Lytechinus pictus: one gene and its partners. The protein of the gene in region 2 interacts with the protein of the main gene of each other region in a pairwise test. Links are inferred from orthologs where the notes say so. Each region holds a gene or a part of one and is shown on either strand. Other genes may lie near its edges.

Evidence for each region.
Region 1: the proteins of proteasome subunit beta type-1-B-like (region 2) and actin-binding protein WASF2-like interact in a two-hybrid assay, tested with the Caenorhabditis elegans proteins (3 studies listed by BioGRID). The link is inferred for Lytechinus pictus from reciprocal best matches to the Caenorhabditis elegans genes pbs-6 and wve-1.
Region 3: the proteins of proteasome subunit beta type-1-B-like (region 2) and translation initiation factor eIF2B subunit alpha-like interact in a two-hybrid assay, tested with the Caenorhabditis elegans proteins (2 studies listed by BioGRID). The link is inferred for Lytechinus pictus from reciprocal best matches to the Caenorhabditis elegans genes pbs-6 and eif-2Balpha.

The regions. Positions count from the first base shown.
Region 1 is NC_087257.1:21,056,223-21,064,135, forward strand, and holds the start of actin-binding protein WASF2-like, read left to right. Parts: upstream 1-4,881; 5' UTR 4,882-5,135; intron 5,136-7,913.
Region 2 is NC_087259.1:10,581,734-10,588,799, reverse strand, and holds the start of proteasome subunit beta type-1-B-like, read left to right. Parts: upstream 1-4,006; 5' UTR 4,007-4,167; coding exon 4,168-4,247; intron 4,248-7,066. UniProt on the Caenorhabditis elegans protein: Non-catalytic component of the proteasome, a multicatalytic proteinase complex which is characterized by its ability to cleave peptides with Arg, Phe, Tyr, Leu, and Glu adjacent to the leaving group at neutral or slightly basic pH.
Region 3 is NC_087246.1:1,160,647-1,168,628, forward strand, and holds the start of translation initiation factor eIF2B subunit alpha-like, read right to left. Parts: upstream 3,031-7,982; 5' UTR 3,009-3,030; coding exon 2,933-3,008; intron 2,296-2,932; coding exon 2,156-2,295; intron 1,737-2,155; coding exon 1,620-1,736; intron 1-1,619.

The DNA of each region.
Region 1 (7,913 bases), on a different chromosome or scaffold from region 2:
CCCTTTCTATCAGACACCACACTTTCTGGCCAAGGTAGAAACCAGAGACGATTCCACAACTATTTTTTCATTGTGTAGACATGATTTTAATGGTACTATTGTGTCTTATGTATATGCACTCGTATCAAAGTCCAAATGGATAATTGGCATTTATCACCACACACTAAAAGTTTCAATCTGCAATTAGGGGTTTAAAAAGGTGTCAGACTACGTGGTTGTGGGGGGGGGGGTAGTCGCGTGTGTCATGTGTAGGGGGTGGGGCTCATACCCGTAATATGGGTACCATACCGATATACATGTAGCTCCTCTGTCAAGACAGGAAGAGTGGAGCAAGTTTAATATTAAGGGCACGGAGAAAAGGGATAGATACTTCCTCTGGTAAAAAGGCACACCAAAAAAGAAAAAAATCGTATCTCCCGAAATCAACCCTTTGTCAGTCGCACAATCACAGGAAACAATCATGATCATCTTTATGATGATGGTGATGATGATTGTGGTCAGTCGGTGAGAATAACAATAATGATAACGATTAATACTAATGGATCATTAATATAAATGATAGCAATAATGTTTATAAACTGTTACCATGTCACTATCTCTACATCATCATCACCTTTACCACCCCCACAACCAATCATCAACACCATCACCACCAACAACATCATCGTCGTCATCATTATCATCACCATCATCATCACCACCATCATCATCACAACTTTTCAGATGGTCAAAATTTCGTCAATTCCTCGTCTCAAGGACAGCGGCGTTACAGGGGTCAGTGGCCAGGGGAGGGCAAGAGCCAAAAATTTCCCGGTCATATCATGGTATGAACATGCGTAATGAGGCGACTATTTTGAGAGGGCCAGATATTGCGTATCGGGCAGAATTTATCTTTTTAAAAAAAGTTGCGAGCGAGCAAAAAAATTGACCTTTTTAATACAAAAATCAAATTTTGTGATAGATTTTGACATGATATCCAGAAAATAATATATTTCACTTTACTCTCTTTCCATTTTTTTTGTGGTCTGTACGCCACTGTGAACAGGATTCTTTGCGGCAGTAGCGTGAAGAGTAAAAAAAAGAGGGGCGCAGTATGACACATGTGCTAAAAAGCTGCTTAATATAAGTCCCGAGCGAGCGAAGCGAGCGAGAAAAAAATCAACTTTTTATGCGATTCTAACTTTGAGATATTTTTGAAATTATATTCGTAAATAAAATGATATCCTACACTTTTCCTTTGCTTCTCTTTCCTCCTTTTTGTTTGTTCTTGTTTGTAGAACTTTTGGGGGCCAATGGCTCAACCCTTCCATACTCATATACGGCAGTGCTGTGCGGTTGGGGTCCGGGGCGGAGCCCCCGGAACTTCTTGATATCAAAGCCATTTAAACCTCGCAGATTGCTGCTATTTCAATCAATTCGCGGGTATATACAGAATGTAGCTTTTACACAACACATTAATATAACCCAGTTGCGTAATGAACCAAATATATTTGAGGGGGCAAAACATAGCAATGTGGGAACATTTACATCCTACATCCACTGCATGTTGGTTTTACTCTTTCTATTTGTCATTATATTGATTTGTTTATGTATTGTTCATATAATATTGTTTATTGTATATTGTACCTTTTGAATGGATGTGAGTAAAGTGAATTGAATTGAATTGTTAAAAGTCGCCAGCGTGCAAAGCGAGCTGGAAAAAAAAAAGCCTATTGAAATTAAATTCTAATTACAATGTATGTGATAGATTTTTCCATTATATTCAGCAAATAACACATTTCATTGCTTCCATTCATTTCATTATACGTTGTCTCCTATAATTTATTTTATTTCCTCTTGGGTGTGGAACCAAGACCCCCCGCGCCTGTACGCCAGTGATTGAACGTGATTGAAAGGGGGCGTTATAGAGCCATTTTATGGTCATAGATCAAGAGCCCCTATTACGTTATTTGCATAAAATTTAGCAAGCTTATAGTTATAGCACAATGTTGTATGCAGTCCATCTTTCTTCCAGCTCTTTATTTTCAATCCTCGGCAGCCCGGTCGTGTTATTATTTTTTCTTGTCCCTTTTCTTTGTTTTCTAATTTAGCTTTTGACTCATTCCATTCTACCTTCGTTTCCCGCTATTGTTTGCCATTTTGTCATCTGTTAATTTATTTCCCATCATGCTATTGCATTACATAAGCCTATTTCGAAATGATTTGTTGTTTGTCAAATCTTCTTCTTTCGTACATTTTCCCGCTTTTTTTCCTTTTCCATTAAAAAAAATCTTCATTTTCTTTTCACTTTTCCCTTTCCTTTTCCCATTTCCTCCCCCTTTCCCTTTCTTTCTTCCTCCTTAAAAAAAAAGATTTTTCCCTTTTTTTTTTAATTTTCCCGGTGAAATCCGCCAGGGGGGCAGCTTGCCCCCCGCCTGTTACGCCACTGCTCAAGGAGAGTCTATAAAAGGGGAAAGTACCTTTTAAAATCCCCTTTGGATCCACCCCATCATAAGGAATGAGAAAACGATATCAAGTATAAATTGACATATAGCAGGAAGCAACAGCGAAGTTCAATTCAACCGCACTGTCTTCATAGTCAAAGATCGTATTTTGTAGTTTCCTTTTGTAGGATATAATGGATGCACTATACAATACGGATATATTACAATTAAACAAATAAAACCAATGCTTTCCCAAAGCAGAAAGGATAGTAGAATGCCACACATAAAGGCCTATTACATGCCTATACGTTGATAAATATTATTGTAGCAATCGGGACGGGGATAATAAAAGGAAATAGATATGGGTCATCTAGTAATTTTGCGTGATACAAAACGTAAGGCAAAGTTAAAGGACAAGTCCACCCAAACCAAAAAAAAAAGTTGATTTGAATAAAAAGAGAAAAATCCAACAAGCATAACACTGAAAATTTCATCAAAATCGGATGTAAAATAGGAAAGTTATGACATTTCAAAGTTTCGCTTAATTTCACAAACAGTTATATGCACATCCTGGCTGGTATGCAAATGAGGAGACTATGACGTCATCCACTCACTATTTCTTTTGTATTTTATTATATGAAATATTCTAATTTTCTCCTCATTGTCAAGTGATACGATTAATTCCTCCCTGAACATTTGGCATTAGCATTGTTTAATTTTATATGGTTCAGTCAAGTTGGTCCTTATTGTCAAATCTGCAAAAATGAAATATTGTATAATTCAAACAATACAAAACAAAAGAAATAGTGAGTGATGGACATCATCGACTGAGTCACCGAGTTGTGCCGTTTTGTGAAAAATAAGCGAAACTTAAAAATGTCATAACTTTCTTATTTTACATCCGATTTTGATGAAATTTTCAGCACTATGCTAGTTTGATTTTTGTCTATTTATTCAAGTCAGCATTTTTCGGCCTGGGGTGGACTTGACCTTTAAAGTTAATCGTATCCCTGATACGAATTCTATCATCCAATCCGGCAATAATATTGGAAATGGATCTTGCTCAGCCGCCCATGTTCATTCTTTCATAGTTTTGCGCAGGAAGTTCCCGGAAAAAAAAAGGGGGGGGGGGTAAGAGTTAGACGCGAGGGAGCGAAGCAACTAGATAGGGCCTAATCATGGGTAGATTGTTATTGTATTTTCAAATCAGAACTGACGGATATTATGCATATATTGCTTTATTTTTCACCCAAATTCGTTGTATAACAGAACAATCTTTTGAAAACGTCTCAATTCTACCTCCAATGGAAGTGCTGCTCTAAGATAGAGAAGACAAGCGAAGTTCCCGGGAAAGGGGGGGGGGGGGGTTAGAGTTAGACGCGTGGGAGCGAAGCAACTAGATAGGGCCTAATCATGGGTAGATTGTTATTGTATTTTCAAATCAGAACTGACGGATATTATGCATATATTGCTTTATTTTTCACCCAAATTCGTAGTAATAACAAAACAATCTTTTAAAAACGTCTACAATTCTACTTCCAATGGAAGTGCTGCTCTAAGATAGAGAAGACAAGCGAAGTTCCCGGGAAAGGGGGGGGGGGGGGTTAGAGTTAGACGCGTGGGAGCGAAGCAACTAGATAGGGCCTAATCATGGGTAGATTGTTATTGTATTTTCAAATCAGAACTGACGGATATTATGCATAATATTGCTTTATTTTTCACCCAAATTCGTAGTATAACAGAACAATATTTTGAAAACGTCTCAATTCTACCTCCAATGGAAGTGCTGCTCCAAGATATAGAAGACAAGCGAAGTTCCTGGGAAGGGGGGGGGGGGTAAGAGTTAGACGCGTGGGAGCGAAGCAACTATTTAGGGCCTAATCATGGGTAGATTGTTATTGTATTCTCAAATCAGAACTGACGGATATTATGCATAATATTGCTTTATTTTTCACCCAAATTCGTAGTATAACAGAACAATCTTTTGAAAACGTCTCAATTCTACCTCCAATAGAAGTGCTGCTCCAAGATATAGAAGACAAGCGAACTTACGTCTCCCATTCCCTCCGATATCCCTTACTTTATGTGTACGATTGTTCCGTCCTTATTTCGTCATGGAATATTTCATGACCCCTATATACCAATGCCCAATAATATTTCCGGATTAATGATAAGTTTTAAATCAATCACACATTTGCTTTGGCAGCCAGTATAAAGCTGAATAATAGTTTTCAGCAACTGCGTTCTGTATGATAACAAGTTTTATGAACAACTCCCAGGAACTTAAATAAAAGGGGGTGATAATGGAATAAATCAACCCGATCTGTTTTGGTTGAAATCACAAACCGTAAAAAGGACAAAAGTTCAGAATCGGAACACTCCCTTTATGTTTCACGGTTTAGAGAGCCGCCATAAATGAATGGAATTTATCGTTATTCCACAGATTGCCCCCCCTAACTCTCATGTCTCAATCAGACTTTGAAAGTAGGAAGTAACTGTGCGATATAAACACAACCCAAACTTGTACTTGTCCTTTCGGATATACAGATATATACAGTGTTGTGTGGAGCGATCATGTAGGAGTTGTTCCAGTGCAATAGGTAGAAATATCTTTCAATATTGTCAGTTTACCATCGCATTAAAGCACGAGGGATCGGGATATATGGATTACTATTGCCCTTTTTCGTCAACATAAGACCATCCTACGTTCAGGTAAGTATATTGCGCTTGTGTAACCACTACACTGATATTAGACTAGAACTGCTATGCATTTACCATACATTAATGGCTTGATATTAATGAAATAACGCTCAAATGCAATAATCTGCATTCGAAATATTGTGTATAGCACATAGCTAGTGGATAGAATAAGAAATATTATCGAGCAGAGTTTAACATTCACAGTATTCATTGTTATGGAAAACTGTACATAAATAATTGTTCCATGCCGAGTCAGAACTACCTGACATAGCAGTTTTTTCTTAAGGGATAACATTAGGCTAGTTGTGTGTGTGTGGGGGGGGGGGGGTGCGGGAAGTCTTTTGAAGAAGTTGTCTGTAGGAAAGCATATGAGGAAGTACAAGTGAATATTAAAGCCAAATCTACTAAACTATTTGAATAAGTTATTTGATTAAGTTGTTACGGTATTGACATAGATACATTCCAATCATGAAATTGATAAGGAGTAAATATGTAGCAGAAGGGGAGGAGGGGAAGAAGAAGAAGAGGAAGGATAAGAAGAAGAGGAAGGAGAGGGAGAAGAGGACGAAGAAGAAGAACGAAGAAGAGGAATTAGAAGAAGAGGAAGAAGAAGGAGAGGAAGAAGAAGAAGAAAGGGAAAGAAGAAGATTAAGAAAAGGAAGCAGAAGAAACAGACGGGGAAGAAGAAGAAGAAGATGAAGAAGAGGAATTAGGAGAAGAGGAAGAAGAGGAAGAAAAGGAAAAGAAAGAGGAAGAAGGAGAAAAGGAGGCAGAAGAAACAGACGGGGAAGAAAGAGAAGAAGAAGGGGAAGAAGAAGCAAAGAAATAAGGGAAATAAGAAGAGGTGGAGGAATCATAATAATGAAAATAAGAAGAATAAGAATAAGAAGAATTGAATAAAGAATTCGGAAGCAAGAACAAGATTTTCTGCACCCTTTCTTCCTAACACCCCCACTAACACCCCCGTCAAATACAAAAAAACTTTATACTTAAAGTAATTACTGCACGCGCTCTCACCTATATACTAGTGGTAAAAGTGTACCAGATGAAAAAGTCTGCCCCTCTCGATTTCCGCCACATTTTAAGGGATTTGACACCATAGTAAAATGTCGTGTATATCACTCAGATTTTTTTTTAAACCGACCTATAAGTTGGTTCAAATATGGACTGACTATTGGTTAAAAAAATGCGTGCAAAATGAATAGGATATTTTTTTCTCCAACAGTTGATCAATTCATATTTCAACCAACCTTTGGGTTGGTTGGACAAATTTCTGAGAGTGTAGACTTTTAAGCAGTATAACACCGTAAGGAAATTTCATTAGGCCATATAATTTCAATGAAACACAAGACCCTAAAAACATCCTGCATCTCTCAATTCCAAAAGAATCGGTGATACACTTATTAAAACCTCGTTCACAGTGTCGTGCGATCCGTTACGAACGCGACGATTGGCCTTTCGTAACTGATCGCGAAAACTTTTGAACCATTCCTTTTTTTCTTCAATCAATACGATTGCCACGACTGATCTGATATTCACTACGATTACTCCCAGATTAATAAGATCACCGCTTCAATCATAGCGCAAAACGTGACAGTGGAAATTAGGTATATTAATCATAATCATAATAATTTCTGCCTTCGTCCAAAGGTCAGTTCCACTCCGAATTCATGACTTTTTCATTTCCTCAAAGCATGTCCCGTTGCTTGACAAAAACCACGCGGTTCCGTTTACTTGACAGTGGATCTGTGAGAAAATTGACGTTCATCTTCTGAATTTGTTTTATTTCCTTATTTATGACGAAAATAAAAGAGCAAGCTTAATGATGCTGTGGTATAATTTATTCTTCGATCTTACCGATTGTTTTGTTATTACATAGGCCTACGTATCATGTTTATACAATGATGTAATGAATGATAATGATGATGATGATGATGAGTATAACTATGAAAACATTTAAGTTTGTAATGGTAGTATTGGTGGCGGTGGTGATTAAGATGATTATAATGGTAATATAATGATATGGCGATGATGATGATAGTAATAATAATAATAAAAGTTAGTAACAATGATAATAACAATTTCAATAATATTACTGACAACACTTGTAAATAATGATGGCAATGACATTTAGAACTATGGATATAATTGCATAAGTGATACAATGATGATGAATGTAAATCAAAAGCATGTAAATACCCATCAATAAATTATGTTAATGATAGTAATATAAAACTAACGACGATAACCATGATTGTGAATACCAATATAAGATAAAATTTATCTTTCATTTTAAAAGAAAACCAAACAAACTTCTAAGCATGCTTAGAAGAATAGTGATCTTTTATTCATTTGGAACTTAATTATCCATATTTATCAGCAGACATTGTGCATGAAGTTGACCTCACACTGAACTATACATACCCAATAACAAGCGATTCAATTTGTCTATTAACTATGAAATTTGGCCTAAATGATGAAAATCCGTGGTTTTGCAAATATTTTTCACCTGCAGTGCCCCTGGATGGAAATGGTGCGTGGGCTTTGGAATTCTATTTTCACTCTCCTACGTGGGCAAGCTTTTCTATCAGAAGTGACTTTGGCGAGTCAATTTGATTTTGAAGATCAGTCATAATTTCAAGTGTATAGTGTGAATACACAGGGCAGCTGTATAGCTCGTTGGAAAAACCACCCCTTGAATATACATAGATTTAACACCCCATACGGCAAGGAATATAGTAATCATCCTTCCGAGTGGAGTGCTTGAAGGACTTGACTATACTCAAAATG
Region 2 (7,066 bases):
GTGGTGGTTATGGTGATGATGATAATGGTGATGATGATGATGGTGGTGGTGGTGGTGCATGGCGGTGATGATGCTGATAATGAGGATGAAAATGATGATGATGATGAAGATAATGAGGGTGACAATGATGGTGATGATGATGATTATAAAGATGACGTTGAAGAAGATGATGATGAATATGATAAATTACAAAACGACGGCGATGATGATGATGGTGATAATGAAGATGATGAATTACAAAATAACGACGGCGATGATGATCATGGTGATAATGAAGATGATAAATTACAAAATAACGACGGCGATGATGATGATGGTGATAATGAAGATGATAAATTACAAAATAACGACGGCGATGATGATGATGGTGGTGGTGGCGGTGATGATGCTGATAATGAGGGTGACAATGATGGTGATGATGATGATTAAGATGACGTTGAAGAAGATGATGATGAATATTAAATTACAAAACGACGGCGATGATGATGATGGTGATAATGAAGATGATAAATTACAAAAAATAACGATGGTGATGATGATGATGGTGATGATGGTGGTGGTGGCGGTGATGATGAAGATAATGAGGGTGACAATGATGGTGATGATGATGATTAAGATGACGTTGAAGAAGATGATGATGAATATTAAATTACAAAACGACGGCGATGATGATGGTGATAATGAAGATGATAAATTACAAAATAACGACGGCGATGATGATGATGGTGATAATGAAGATGATAAATTACAAAATAACGACGGCGATGATGATGATGGTGATAATGAATATGATAAATTACAAAAAATAACGATGGTGATGATGATGGTGGGATAATGATGACGATGGTGGTGATAGTGAGGATGGTGATACAACACAGGGCCGCAGAACGGTTTTGAAATTGGGGAGGCTACGTACATTCAAAAAACACAAAAACGTTTTTGTACATGGAAGAGTTAGTTCCAACATCACTTCATTCATTCATTTATTTATTCATTTTTACAACAAAATTTATAATGCAATAATTACAATAAATAAAACATAACATCAGAAAATATGAATGACATAAATATTCAAATAAACCAAACATACAGAATATACACCTGGTACAGAATATAATATTTCCAAATTGATAATAACAAAATGCAAGATATGTTGGAAAAATGGAGTGGCCCACTGAAAAGCAAAGCTTGTAAAGTGTGGCCCCTAGCTTTCAAGAACAATGGTGTTACATGTAGGCATTCTTTCTGATGATGGCAACAGTGGTTGGTTTTTTTTTATTCAAAATTCACCTAGGCCTATGTAGGTGTACTTGAAATGTTCCACAAATAGTCCGAAAACTAATAGTGTAAGTTACGTGATCCATGATGATGGTGATGACGATGATGACGATGATGATGATGAGGATGATGATGATGGTGGTGGTGGTGGTGGTGGTGGGGTGCAACCTATGAGAATAACACACGCAGCACCCTCCATAAAAGTCTCGGGGATGGTTCAGCACCCCTGCTTCCAGAGCCATTGGTCTCAGTTTGAAACTTGATGTTCCGCTATTTCAGAAAGTTTTCCTAATACGATCATTGTACAGTCCGACGATAAATTCAGGAAAATAGATTGGGCAGATAAAAGTCATGATGTCTATAATCAAATGATTTAGCAAAACTATACCACTTTTTAAATCATTTAGGTATACCCCAACCCCTCGCCGGTACGCCAATTGTGATGATAATGGCGGGGATGATCATGAATATAATGGCGATATGATAATAATTATGATAACGTTCATTATGACTGTGAAAGACAAATGGAATAAGAAAATGATAGAGCTATGGCATTTTACAACTCGACCTTTTTAGATTAGTCTTACTCTATACATGAGGATGATGATGTTACACATTTTATTTTACAGGGTAGTACATCTCAAATTCGACTATTTATGAGGCATGTGAGGAATAGAACAGTCTCTTATTATAGGCCTATATACTGTTGGGAAATGGAAATATTTTATTTATCAAATAACAAAATAAAATAAAAAAATAAGTTAGTGAGTCTTTGACATAATTGGCTCCCTCATTTGCAAGACCGCCAATTGTACTTGGCCTACTACTTTATAAAAGTATATTTGAAGAAAGAAACTTAAAGAAATTGACTCAAATGCTCTTTTTTACTTCCGAAACAGACAAACAGTCTATTTGAAAGAAATACTAAATACTATTTGAAAGAAATACTAACACATGTGTAAGCAAAACCTCTCACACAAAATATTTTCCACATCTCCTCATTTGCTCATTAAAGGGGGAATTCACAATTACATTAAATTGATTTCAATAGAAGCCAAAAAAAGAGAGGAACATATGCCTAAAAAGTTTTAGCGAAAATCCATAAGAGGATATAACGAAATTATTATTATTTTGTTGTTATTGTTGTTGTGTTTGTTTTTATTTTGTGACGTCATATGCGAGCAGTTAATTCTCCCCTTATGAGCATCTTTTTATGATGGCTACCTGCGCATTACAAATGTGTGTACTAGTAATCGATTGTTCAACATATCATTTCATAGGCCTATCGGCTTCTATTTTTACTGAAGAAAGAGAAGGAAGGAAGTAGTCGTGGGCCATTAAAAATTGAAATTTATATATATTGGGAGCTACTCGCACATGACATGACGCTAACATTTAACTTTTAAATTATCGCCAACTTATGAGTGAACCCCTCCTTTGATGAACGAATAAGACAATTCATACGAGAGCGCAATAAACTGGTATAGTATCATCAGCCAATAGCGTAATGAGCCCCCCCCCTCTAAAAAAAATGAGGGGGCAACATAATTTACGTGTAACAAAATTTCTTAAAAGTCGTGAGCGAGTGAGCAAATGTTTGTCCTTTTAAAATGACAATCTAATTTTGCGATAGGTCTATATAGTTTGAAATATTTTTTAGAAAATAATACTTCATCTGAACCTTCTTCCTTTATGTTCCCTTTTTCCTACTTTGAACTTTTGGGACCCCCCCCCCCTCCCACACACACACACTCACTCACACAACTGCAAGCCATGACAATAGCAGAACAATATATGAACAAATTAAATACAAAAGATTTACCAATTAATTGTAATTTATATATAGGCTTAATTAAAATAAAAATTTGTAAAAAACGTTTATTCATGTGTTACCATTTTAATTTTAACCGGGGGACAGGAGGGGGCTCTAGCCCCCGCACTTTTTTTCCAAAACCGTGTACAAAAACGAAAAAAATTACCACCTGATTATGATTTTTGCATGGTCAGCCCCCCCCCCCCCCCCCCACGCACGTTTTATTCAAAACCGTTCCGCGGCCCCTTTATATATATGCCTATAATTTGATTCTTTTTTTTTTTGCCTTTCATTTTGCATTTTTTATATTGAATTATAATGTTGTCCTTTATCGAGATATTGTGTGATTGTCATTAATTTTAATAAACTGCTGTAGGATGACACTTGAAAATAGAGATACATGTCACTGTAGTATTAAACAAAAGTATTGGAGTAAAAAACCCTGCACCGGCCTCAATCCAATACCAAAGCTATTTTTTTAAGCAAACACGTTGGTATCAATCATTCACAAAGCATTTTCATTTATTTGATGCAAGATAGAAGAGTTATGTATCGAAATACGCCTCGGTCAAGGGCCGTACCGGGTATCGAACCCCGGACTTTCATTGTGTAGTCGGGTACCTTAGACCACTCGGCCACGGCACCAAGCTATTTTTTTTTTTTATAATATTTTATTTTCTTCCTCTTTCAAATCAAGTTAATCACTTCGTATAAATCAAGATTTTGTACATATATACGAGACAAAGAAATATATCAATATCAATGAGATTACAAATTTTCAGAATTATTAGAAATGAAGTTAACTGCCCAATTTCTCTTACATTAAAAAAGCAGAGAAAAAGTATCATCAATCGACAAATAAAAAACAGACTTTGTAAAAGGTGACTTTTTGCACTGCAAAACAAGAGGTCTAGCGCCATCTACATTTCATAATTGGGTAGTGTCGTTTCGGTCGCTTTTTGGAGCTCATGACTGGCAAAAATTGAGATTGAGACCAAAAAAATAATCGTTTTATTTGTATATTTAAAGACTATTTGTTGAATTATTTTGTGCCAAAATAAAAGGAGGCCAACATCATGCAGGGAATGCACGAGACCGTCCCGAGTTATCATCCGGTGGAACAACAGAGATTCAATCCATACACATTCAATGGAGGGTAAGGTTACTCGTCTGTCCACTTTGTCAGTTTGTGCAGCGCTGTCCCTCCTCGCCTAGCCTCAGCTCCGGCGGCTCGCTCGCCAAGGAGGGAGCTAGGCGGTGGAGCTGCCGCGTTCATGGCAGCCAGGATCAGCTCACAATTCACATTCTGAACGCTAGGTTACTCTCTAAATTTGCGCTAATGCAGTTGGCTCTATCGTCATCCAAGTCACTGGGGACAAACTTGAGACACACCTTTATCAAAATATCAGCAATCTTTCTCTGGAATAACGCCTTCTTAAAGAGGTTTTCAAAACCAAAGTCTTTATTAAATAGAAATCTAGACTATTGTTTGCGAATTGCGGCGTGAAGCTTCTGAAGTCTGAACAGGGGCTTTCTTCCACCACACGTTTTCCTATTGACACAATAACAACTGACTCAGACACTTTTTCAAACAACAAAAAATAGTAATCTTCTTTCTTTTCTCCTGAATATTCTTCCAAGTTGAAACAAAAACACGAAATAAAACAAAATTAATCACACTAAAAACTAAATTTTAACTGCTCGTGATCCCATAGCATAGGAGGGGACTCGAATAACGATATGCTCGTCATCCGAGTCCCCTCCTGTGGGAAATTTGCAGTTAGATCTAAATAGTATTTTTAATGTGATTTTTTATTGATTTTAATGATTCTTATTATCGAGGATATTCATTTATCATCTCTAAGAAACTGTCTAAAGTGGCAGTTAAATAGTTTTTTTTTTTAATGTGATTTTTACTGATTTTAATGATTCTTAATTTCTTATTATTGGAAAGTCAAAAAGGGGGCCTAAGCTTTCGATCCTAGCAGAATCTTCGTCGGAGGCAAAATGACAAACATATAAAGTGGAACAACCATAATATAGACCACAAACAAGCTACAGCAACACTAGAAACAAGGAGACAAAAGGGGCATTAGTGAGTAGAGAAGACCAATCAGGTTAGTGAAGGGGATGAAAGAAAAGGAGTAGGCAGACACTTATTATTGAGAATATTCATTTATAAGACTGTAGGAAACTCTCCAGAAGTGGCAGAGTGGTTTTGAAGAGGAGGGAAATGCAAAATGAGGGGTAGATGAATATCAACTTGTTAATTGCCGTTTTGTATTTTAGGAGAGGGGACTTGGATCACGAGTTTCAGTAATAGTATTCCTCGTTATCCAGTGAAGTCCCCTCCTATGGGAAATTGGACAGTCTTTACACAGGAAGGGGACTCGGATCACGAGGAGTAATTAGACAGTTAATAAGTATTTTAATGTGATTTTTATTGATTTTAATGATTCTTATCGAAAATGTTCATTTATCATCTTTAGAAAAAGTGTCTAAAAGTGGCAGAGCAGAGTGGTTCTGAAAAGGAGGGAAATGAGGGGTAGATGAATATCATCGGGTTAATTGCCGTTTTATTTTAGTGGGGGGACCTGGATCATGAGGAGTAATGACACATTTTTATAGTGTTTTTAGTGCAATTCTATTGATTTTTAATAATAATTCATATAAAGAATATTCATTTATCATATCTCTAGGAAACTGTCTAAAAGTAGGAGTGGGCTATACATGTAAATGGGTGATTTTTTGTTTTATTGTGGCAACAGTTTTTTTTTGTTCCTTAGCAAGTAGCAAGCAGCTTTTATAGCTATATTGCCTTAGAGAAATATATCTTATCAAATAAAAGAAAGTTTTATAATCCATAGGGGCTATACGGTACATGTATACAATGCACTGGAGACTGGACATACACTACACTGCATACAATCATCTAATTGCTATTCATTTCATTTGATGTTTATTTTTTTATCTCTTGTATAAGACAGAAATAACCATTGTTTCCAGGGATTTATTCAACAATTTCTGAATTCTTACTATCATCCCATTCACCTAACCAGGAGGCTCCTAAAGAGTAAAAATCATTCTCTAACATGAGCTTACCTCCATGGAGCCAGGGCATGTGCCTACATGTATATCTTGTCTGTAGTGGCTGGGCTTTTTTAAAACTTTTGCCCCTGTGATTTCAACTTTCCCTATAAGAGTTCTAGCCCTAAGTCATGTTCATGTAAATGGGCTAGCATAGGCGGATCCATGGAGCCAGGGCATGTGCCTATATCTTGTCCGTAGCGGCTGGGCTTTTATTAAACTTTCGCCCCTGTGATTTCTACTTTCCCTATAAGAGTTCTAGCCCTAAGTCATGTACATGTAAATGGGCTAGCATAGGCGGATCCAGGGGGCCGCCCCCCCCCCCCCTATTGGCGGAGCAAAAGAAAAAGAAAAAAAAAAGAAGGGAAAAGAGAGAAGAAGAAAAAAGAGGAGGAAGAATGGAAGATGAATGAATAAAATAACATGAGGGGAAGACTTGGAAAAAAAAAAAAATCTTTCATGTCATATAAAATTTTCGCTCGTGCTTCACGCTCGAATTGCCTGTTCGAATGATACGTACATGTATGTAGCTTGTTCAGAAGCCTGATATACATGTAGAGCTTAAAATATCAAGTTTTTAAGTCAATAAGCAAAACGTATTTCAACATGGACATTGATCTTTTATTAATTTGCTTGATTTGCCAATTAATTTGAAAAAAAGTGCTTTGTAAAATGTCTGTTTTATTATCTGAATATCAACATTTACAGCTCACGCTGCGCGCTCGCATTATTTGATTTGTCAAGTACCTATCCTCTTCATGCATTCCATAAAGTTATAAAAAAATATATATCTTGTCAGGTCTGATTATCAAAACATATCAACTAGCGCTGCACACTAGCATTTTGATTGAGTTATGTGTTCTATAACAAACTTCTTAAAATCCCCTT
Region 3 (7,982 bases), on a different chromosome or scaffold from region 2:
ATTTTTTTGTAAGTAAATTTATGTGTAAAAATGGTATTCACATTTAAAATGGCACACATAATCTCATAATAATAGTATACATGTAATACCCAATATTAATAAAGTGCTTTTCCCAAATGGCCAAAAGCGCTCTCAGTTTCAACTTAACAGACTGACCTCTTTTAAACTAAGCAGGATTTTTTTTTTTTCAGGAGCTACTTTTCACAACCTCCTGTCTAAATCTGCTATACTGTATTGTACAAACTTTGAACAACATTGCAGGGAATGGGGATTTTCCAGGGATCTTTTTTTTTCAAGGCTCTTTTGGTTATTTGGGGTCAAAATCACCCCTGTGCAATTTTTCCCTGCTACTAAAAAATCCTTGACAAGAGATTCTGCTTTAAACTTACATTTTTGGCATGAATACAGATACCAATCAACGCTGAAAGCCAAGAAATATTAACAAATTACTAAGAAACATCCCCAAAGTCGGAACATTCTTAAATTTCCTATAGAATACTACAGACAAATTTTCACAAAAATTGAACAAGAGTGTCGCTAAGGCGAGCACATAATACACCCGTCTGTATGTTCACGGAAACTGGAGTATTGGTCAAGCAAGAAAAGTGGAAGATGGCGACTTCACCTTTGACCTTCTGACCTCAAAATCAATAGAATTGCTAGGATCTATGCTAGTATCATACACACCAAACTATATGAGCCTAGGTTAAGTTCAACTAAAGTTATCGCGTTAACAAGGACTTCAGAAGGGTAAGATGAAAACGTGTCACTGTGATCTTGACCTTTGACCTTTTGACCTCGAAATCGATAGGCTTGCTGGGATCCATGCTAGTATCATACACACCAAATTATATGAGCCTAGGTTGAGTTAAACTGAAGTTATCAAGTTTACAAGGACTGCAGAAGGGTAAGATGAAAACATGTCACTGTGAGCTTGACCTTTGACCTTTTGACCTCAAAATCTATAAGCTTCCTGGGATCCATGCTAGTATCATACACACCAAATTATATGAGCCTAGGTTAAGTTAAACTGAAGTTATCGCGTTTACAACGACTGCAGAAGGGTACGATAAAAATACGTCACTGTGACCTCAAAATCAATAGGCTTCCTGGGATCCATGCTAGTATCATACATACCAAATCATATGAGCCTAGGTAAAGTTAAACCGAAATTATCGTGTTTACAAGGAAAAGTTAACGGACGGACGGACACCGAGCGTGATACCATATGTCCCGTCGAGATGGGCGTATAAAAACACTGGTTAAAATGGCAATTTTCTTTTCCCCAAAATATGTATATTCTGATCAAATACAATCTTTGGTAGGTATGTGACAATGAAGGATTTCAATGCTGCCATGGCTTTAAACAGCTCAAGAAATCTCAACTAATTCTTTTCTTTCTTGGATAATTTCACATGAACAAGGAATGGTATTCCATTGGACTCCTTACCAGCATGCTTCATGCCAATACCACAATACAATTAACAGTCTAATTTTCCTCCATGTGGGGAGCATTTCATCATCAATGATTTTCCCTGACAACTGTTATAAGCTACTGAAATCCTTGCATTTGATTGGCTCATAACAAATTAGGCAGTGAAAATCTTCCCAGAACTTACTGCTCCATCGGTGATGAATGGATGACCAAGCTTAGCAATCTTATCTCTTGACCCGGCTACAGTGTCTAGGTACATATTACCTCGGTTTACTAAGATCTTCTTGCATTCATTAAAATTCTGAAATGAAAATAAAAGATGATGGAAAGAGGAATAAACATAATGAATAAAAGACTTAAGAAAAGGACACAAAGCACATTTTTCAAGACTTGAGAGACTGCAGATCAAACAAACAAAGAAGACACATAAAATGGAAAGAATGAATCTAAAAAAATTTTGGTTTCCTCTGTAAGTTATAGATTAATTCAACACTGTAGACCATTCTTTACTTAAACCACAAATATAAATGACTACAAAAAATCAATAGGCTATCATTGAATAAGTCAGTACATTGGCATTACCAGGCAACCCCCAAAATACCCCCCCCCCATAAAAAAAAAAAAAAATGGCTGCTTCAGTGATACATTTTGAGAAAGCATATATGAGGCCTAAACAAAACAAAGAAACTATGATTCACAAGACAAAATGAAATAATACACCTTGTGATCTAAGGCTGCAAGAGTGATAAATCTTAGGAACAGCTCGCATCCTGATGATATAGCTGTTACTGAACTATCTGTTTCCATCAACCATCTGATACATTCCTTCAGCCCATCTCGAAGACCAGCTAATGTCTCAGCTGTATACATACATGTACAAACATAAACAAAACATATATTTAGTGGAAATACACCTTACTGATGTGACGTTTTGCCAATTTTTAATTGGTTTCTTCAGGCGAATGACAAACTCACTGAAGGGGAGACCCTTACAATGTTTGAGAATGAACCCATCCCCTTAGTGGGTTTGTCACTTTTTCTCTTGATCAAGTAGATAAAGTCTTATTTGTTCTTGTTCTGACTACAGATATTCTTTTTATATTTTATTCATCAAATGCCTTGGCCCAAAATTAAATTGAATTCTAAACTTTTTTTCCTAACAAAATAAAGTCTGTGCCTTTGTGGGCTACTTATAATTACTTTCAATCAACAGAGGGTCACAAAAATACATGCTAAATATTACAGTTTTTTAACACTCTGGTGAATAAAACAAACAATCTCTAAGATTATAAAGAAAACAAATGATCATAAATGAATGGATTTAGTATCATTTGTTATGAAAGTAATATTTCAGAGACTTTTTGGAGTGTGTGTTTTATGTTGCATAGACTCAACACAGGCACAGTGGTTGCAGACTGCAAGTACCAAGCACTCCTGATTAACATTTGTTTGTATACCTTTTAAAAAAAAATTAGTAAATAGTATAGGTAGTAGCACCTTGACTTAATTTCAGGTATTCAATCAGAGTGTTGATAGCAGCCACTGCAGCAGAGATGTCCTGGTTTGTAGACATGTACTCAGTGAAATACAGAATAGCATCTGCAAATGAGAAGAAAGAGTCAATATCAATGTCTTATATTTACCAACAAATTATGTTCCTGGTATTACTAGTAGTATTACATTTAATTTGCTTTGATTTTTTTTCTTAATGTTAATGCTGAAAATGATGGTCTTAACTACATGGCTCATTAGACACATGTACATCGCACTTGGTTTGTTAACTTACAATGTAGTATGTTCAATCTAACTCTAAAGAACCAGGCTTGATCACCGAGATGACAGAGAATCTCAACCAGCCTATACTCTTGCCTAAAGACACCAACTCCTAAAACTTATATCCTACTTTAAAGTTGTTGAGGCACTGGTTCCTGGTTTTTATGTTATCGGAAACTTTTACCCATTTCTCTATTAGAATATTTTAACCTGAATTGCAATATACATTCTTATCCTACGAGAAATGCAAATAATTTTCATCTTCCTAAAATAAGAACGTCACTGTCTCAACAATCCATCATTTATCAAGGTCCTGTAGTTTGGAATTCACTAACAGATGAAATACGCAATGCAAAAACACTTAATTTATTCAAAACACAGTTCAAAAGATACCTTCTTGAGAAATACAGTGGCTGAATGATGTATAGTTTATGTATAGCACTTGTATTATTATAATTATTGTAATATTATGTTAGGGCATGGCACTTTTTGATGTCTTGGTTCATTGTTTATGTGTATTTTTAAGTTATTTTGTTTGTTTTTAGAAATGTTTTTGCTATATCCCTGTTATTGCATTTTCTATGTCACCTTTTCGTTTTAATAATGGGTCGGCCTAATTATAAGGATTTTTTTCCTTTTTGGCTGCCACCCCTCAGTATGATTCTGAATCATAATGCAATTTTTAGACTGTCTTTTACACTGATTTGTAATACATGTATTTTAACTTTGTATTATATTTGTTTTTTATGTAAAGGTTTTACTGAGAGAATAAAACAATTTGAATTTGAATTTGAATTTGAATACCCTTCCTGTTGATAATTTTTTGACAATGACTAAAGCAAGGCTACTACTAGACTGATAAATCCAATGTTTTGGAGGAGTTTTTTTCAAAATTTTCTGAATTTTTTTGTCCTCCTCCTACACAGACAGATGATGGCCATTGCGCTCATAATGCAGCCTTCTACCATAGTCCATTTCCTTCAGGGTTGGTACTAGTTTGGTTGCTCGTCGCTGGACTTTCTCAACAGCCTTCAAGTCAGGAGCATATCGTAGGTACCATATTCCGTTCGCGTATTCCAGAATTGATGTCACAAGTGACCTGTACAACCTCTTGATGTTTTCTTTGTCTCTATGCAAGAAAGTGCGTCGAATCATAGCGAGCACACAATTTGCTTTCAAGACTGTGAATGATATGAATCAAATTTTCGCTAATATTCCTCAAATACTACTTAAGCGCTGATTTTTCTTCTCGTTGACGAACTATGGAGTTTAGATGTTGTTTGAAGGTTTCCATGGTGGCATGTACAATCGCTGATGTGGTTTACGGTACACCATGTGGAGTATTATAGAAACAGTGGATAGAAGAAGAAAAAGAAAAAGAAAACAGAAATGGATAGGCGAGAAAGTGGAAATTTGAGAGTAGAGTAATCTTTCTTGAATGTAGTCCTGAAAAGGACTGTAAACCAGAAGAGATTGATGAGTTGAAACAGCTTGACTAGTAGGATGGATGAGGTGCTGGCTTGAGTCGGCGAGTAGAGATGATGAGCAGAAGCAGTAGAGAGACTCGACGTTTCGGGCAGGTTGACTGTCCGTCTTCAGTTTACTCGCCGTTTCCCAATTTTTCGTCTCAAGAGGGTGCGCAATTCATATTCATATCAAAGACACTACAAGGGAAAGACTAGGCACCAAAATCATTTTACACTTAAATCGATGCAAAGCATTACGCGGAGTCTGCAAAGTGTCCAATCTTTCATTATAGAGCTGAATTAAGGTTGTGAATTGTATTAGCGCCACCATCGAGCTTCCTTTTATTTCCATGGTAGAGACATGTGAAGCCACTTTCCAGGCCGAGGTAGGCGAATTTGCTTGTTTAAGTCGTTTTATGTGCTTTTTATAGAAAAAAATAATAAAACAATTAAAAACGGATAGCCACTAACTCCAGTAACTGGAAAGAGCCCCAGTGAGTAGCGGAATGAGTTTCCGCCAACATTATTCCTGTTATGCAGCGATGTTAACCGACTACTAAAAAAAAAAAAAATTGTGTAATCACGTTTGTAACGCAAAGTTGATATAACATACTAATCTCGCAATAGATGTGAGTGGGCTACTACTATTAGTATTAGGCCAAATCCTTTTTAATTCTCTTTATTCAATCCTTCCTTTAATTTCTTTCTTTTTCTTTTCTTTTGATCTTTTTAATTGTTATCTCCATCTTTCCTTTATTTTGTTTCAAGATTGTGATCTGAGCTGAATTAGTCAGATCACTAAAATGGCCTTCTCTCCAACCATGAAGAAAGGACAGCAGACTAACCTTATTCTACAAATCTCACCATAAAAGGAAGCCGCTGTAAACATCCCTGAATATGTGTTGGAAGCACCAAGATCAGTAAGAGCCAACAACAGCCGATTGGTACCACTTCAATGTGGAACAAAAGCCTACCTCAATAGTTTTATACCAAATACAATAAAAGACTGAAACAATCTCCCACCAGAAATAAACTAGCACATCACTGATGTGGAGCTCATCCGGCATCTCGCAGCAAAATTTAACACAATTTTTAACTTCAGCCCAGTTGACACTGTAGTGAACTATATTGGTGACATGAATTGAGGAAACAGAATTGAAATTGGTGAACCTCATGAGGCTCTCAGATGGAACCAAAAAATCAAAATCTGTCAACAAATAAATAAGCATTTTTGTAAGTTTTGAAAAATATGCATAAATTAACATATCTAATGAGTTTCTAAGTTCTGTGTAGAAACTTAGTATGACCACCTAGAGCTGACATATATTTAAGCAAACAAATTTGAAATTGATCAACAAATGAAGGAGAAAAGGTATTTTTTGTGATTTATGAATAAATTTTGCATAAATTAGCATAAATAATCTTCTAGCCAAAATTTCAAAATTCTGTGTGGAAACTTGGTTACCCTCATGTAGCTCTACCAAATGGATGAAAAAAAAAATCAAAATTGGTCAACAATTAAAGAGGCATTTTCTATGATTTATGAATAAATTTCCAATAAATTAGCATGAATAATTTTATACTCGAAATTTTAAAATTCTGTTAAAAAGTTTGGTGAACCCCATGAAGCTCTACAAGATGGAAGAAAATAAAATAAAATAATAGACAGTTCTTGTATAGCGCATAACACATAATGAATAACATCTCTATGCGCTTCCAAAGGACTTGGATTATTACCCCAGCTGTAGCTCAAGCAGCTTTCATGCACTCGGCATTTCAAGGAATAAATTCCTGCCAGGTACCCATTCACCTCACCTGGGTTGAGTGCAGCACAATGTGGATTAATTTCTTGATGAAGGAAACCACGCCATGGCTGGGATTTGAAAAAAAATTCAAAATCGATAAACAAAGAAGAAGCATTTTATGTGAAGTTTTAAAAATACATTGTATGCATAAATTAGCATTAAAAAATTTTTTAGTCAAAATTTTAAAATTCTGTGTAGAAGTTTGGTGAAACTCATGAAGCTCTACCAGAAGAAAGCAAAAAATCAAAATCAGTCAACAAATAAAGAAGGAGGAGCATTTTTGTGAATTTTGAAAATTGTGCAAAATTTAGCATATATAATGAGTTTCAAAATTTTGTGTAGTAGTTTTGAATCCCCACCTAGTGCTATCATATATAGCAAACAGAATTGAAATTGGACTTGAAATGACGAAGAAGTATTTTGAAATTCGGTCAACAAATAAATAAGAGGCATTCTCTATGATTTATGAATAAATTTCGCAAAAAATGAGCATGAATACTTTTCTACTCGAAATTTCAAAATTCTGATCAGAAGTTTGGTGCACCTCATTCAGCTCTACAAGATGGAAGAAAAAAAAATCGGTCAACAAATAAAGAAGCATATTTTAATATGACATTTTAAAATATACATAAATTAATTTCGCATAAATTAGCATAAAAATATTTCTAGTCAAAATTTCGAAATTCTGTGTAAAAGCTTGGTGAACCTCATGAAGCTCTACCAGTCCAGATGGAAGCAAAAAAGATGTACCTCTCCTTCTTTCAAAATTCATAACAAAATGGCCGATCGAGACTGGGTTAGGAGAGGTATCGCGTGTGGTAAAATGTACCACAGTCTGGGGCACGCGCGACTGCTCCCTACATACATGTAGTACTGTGGGATGGGTTGGAGCAACTGCCTCCTTGGTTGGAGCATAGAATACACATGTACTATGGGCTAGAGGCTGTGTTGTGTGCACACAACAATAGACCCAAACCCCCAAGCCCTGTGCATTCATCCATGCTTGGGTGCACAACTCAGGTCTCAGCATAGCTGCATAGTCAGGCCAGCCAAGGGATCTGATCATCACTTGGAGAGTCGACCGGTGCGAGACAAGGACGTCTGTGTTTACACTTACTATACCTTCTGCTTCGCCCGTTCGCCCTTCGGGTTTCATCTAGTTGCGGCAATTATACATCACATCGGCAATTATACATCTACACCAAGAATACGTCACACCAGCAATATCCACAAGTTATTTAGGCCTGCTTTTTGGTTACCGTATCTTTATTTCAACGTGCCTTGCACCAACTTCCTACTGGTGAGTATATCTGTGAACCTTCCTCCTGTTAACCCCACTTTCCACTCTTTCCCTCACAGGATATATATACTAATACCCCAAAAATTACCACAGTGGCGCTTGCGAACCTTACTTTGCGCGAATTGGTATCCCATTGGATTTCAATTCATTTTCATTTTGATTTATTTTGAGTGTGTTTTGGGAGTGTTCTTCTTCCTTCATAA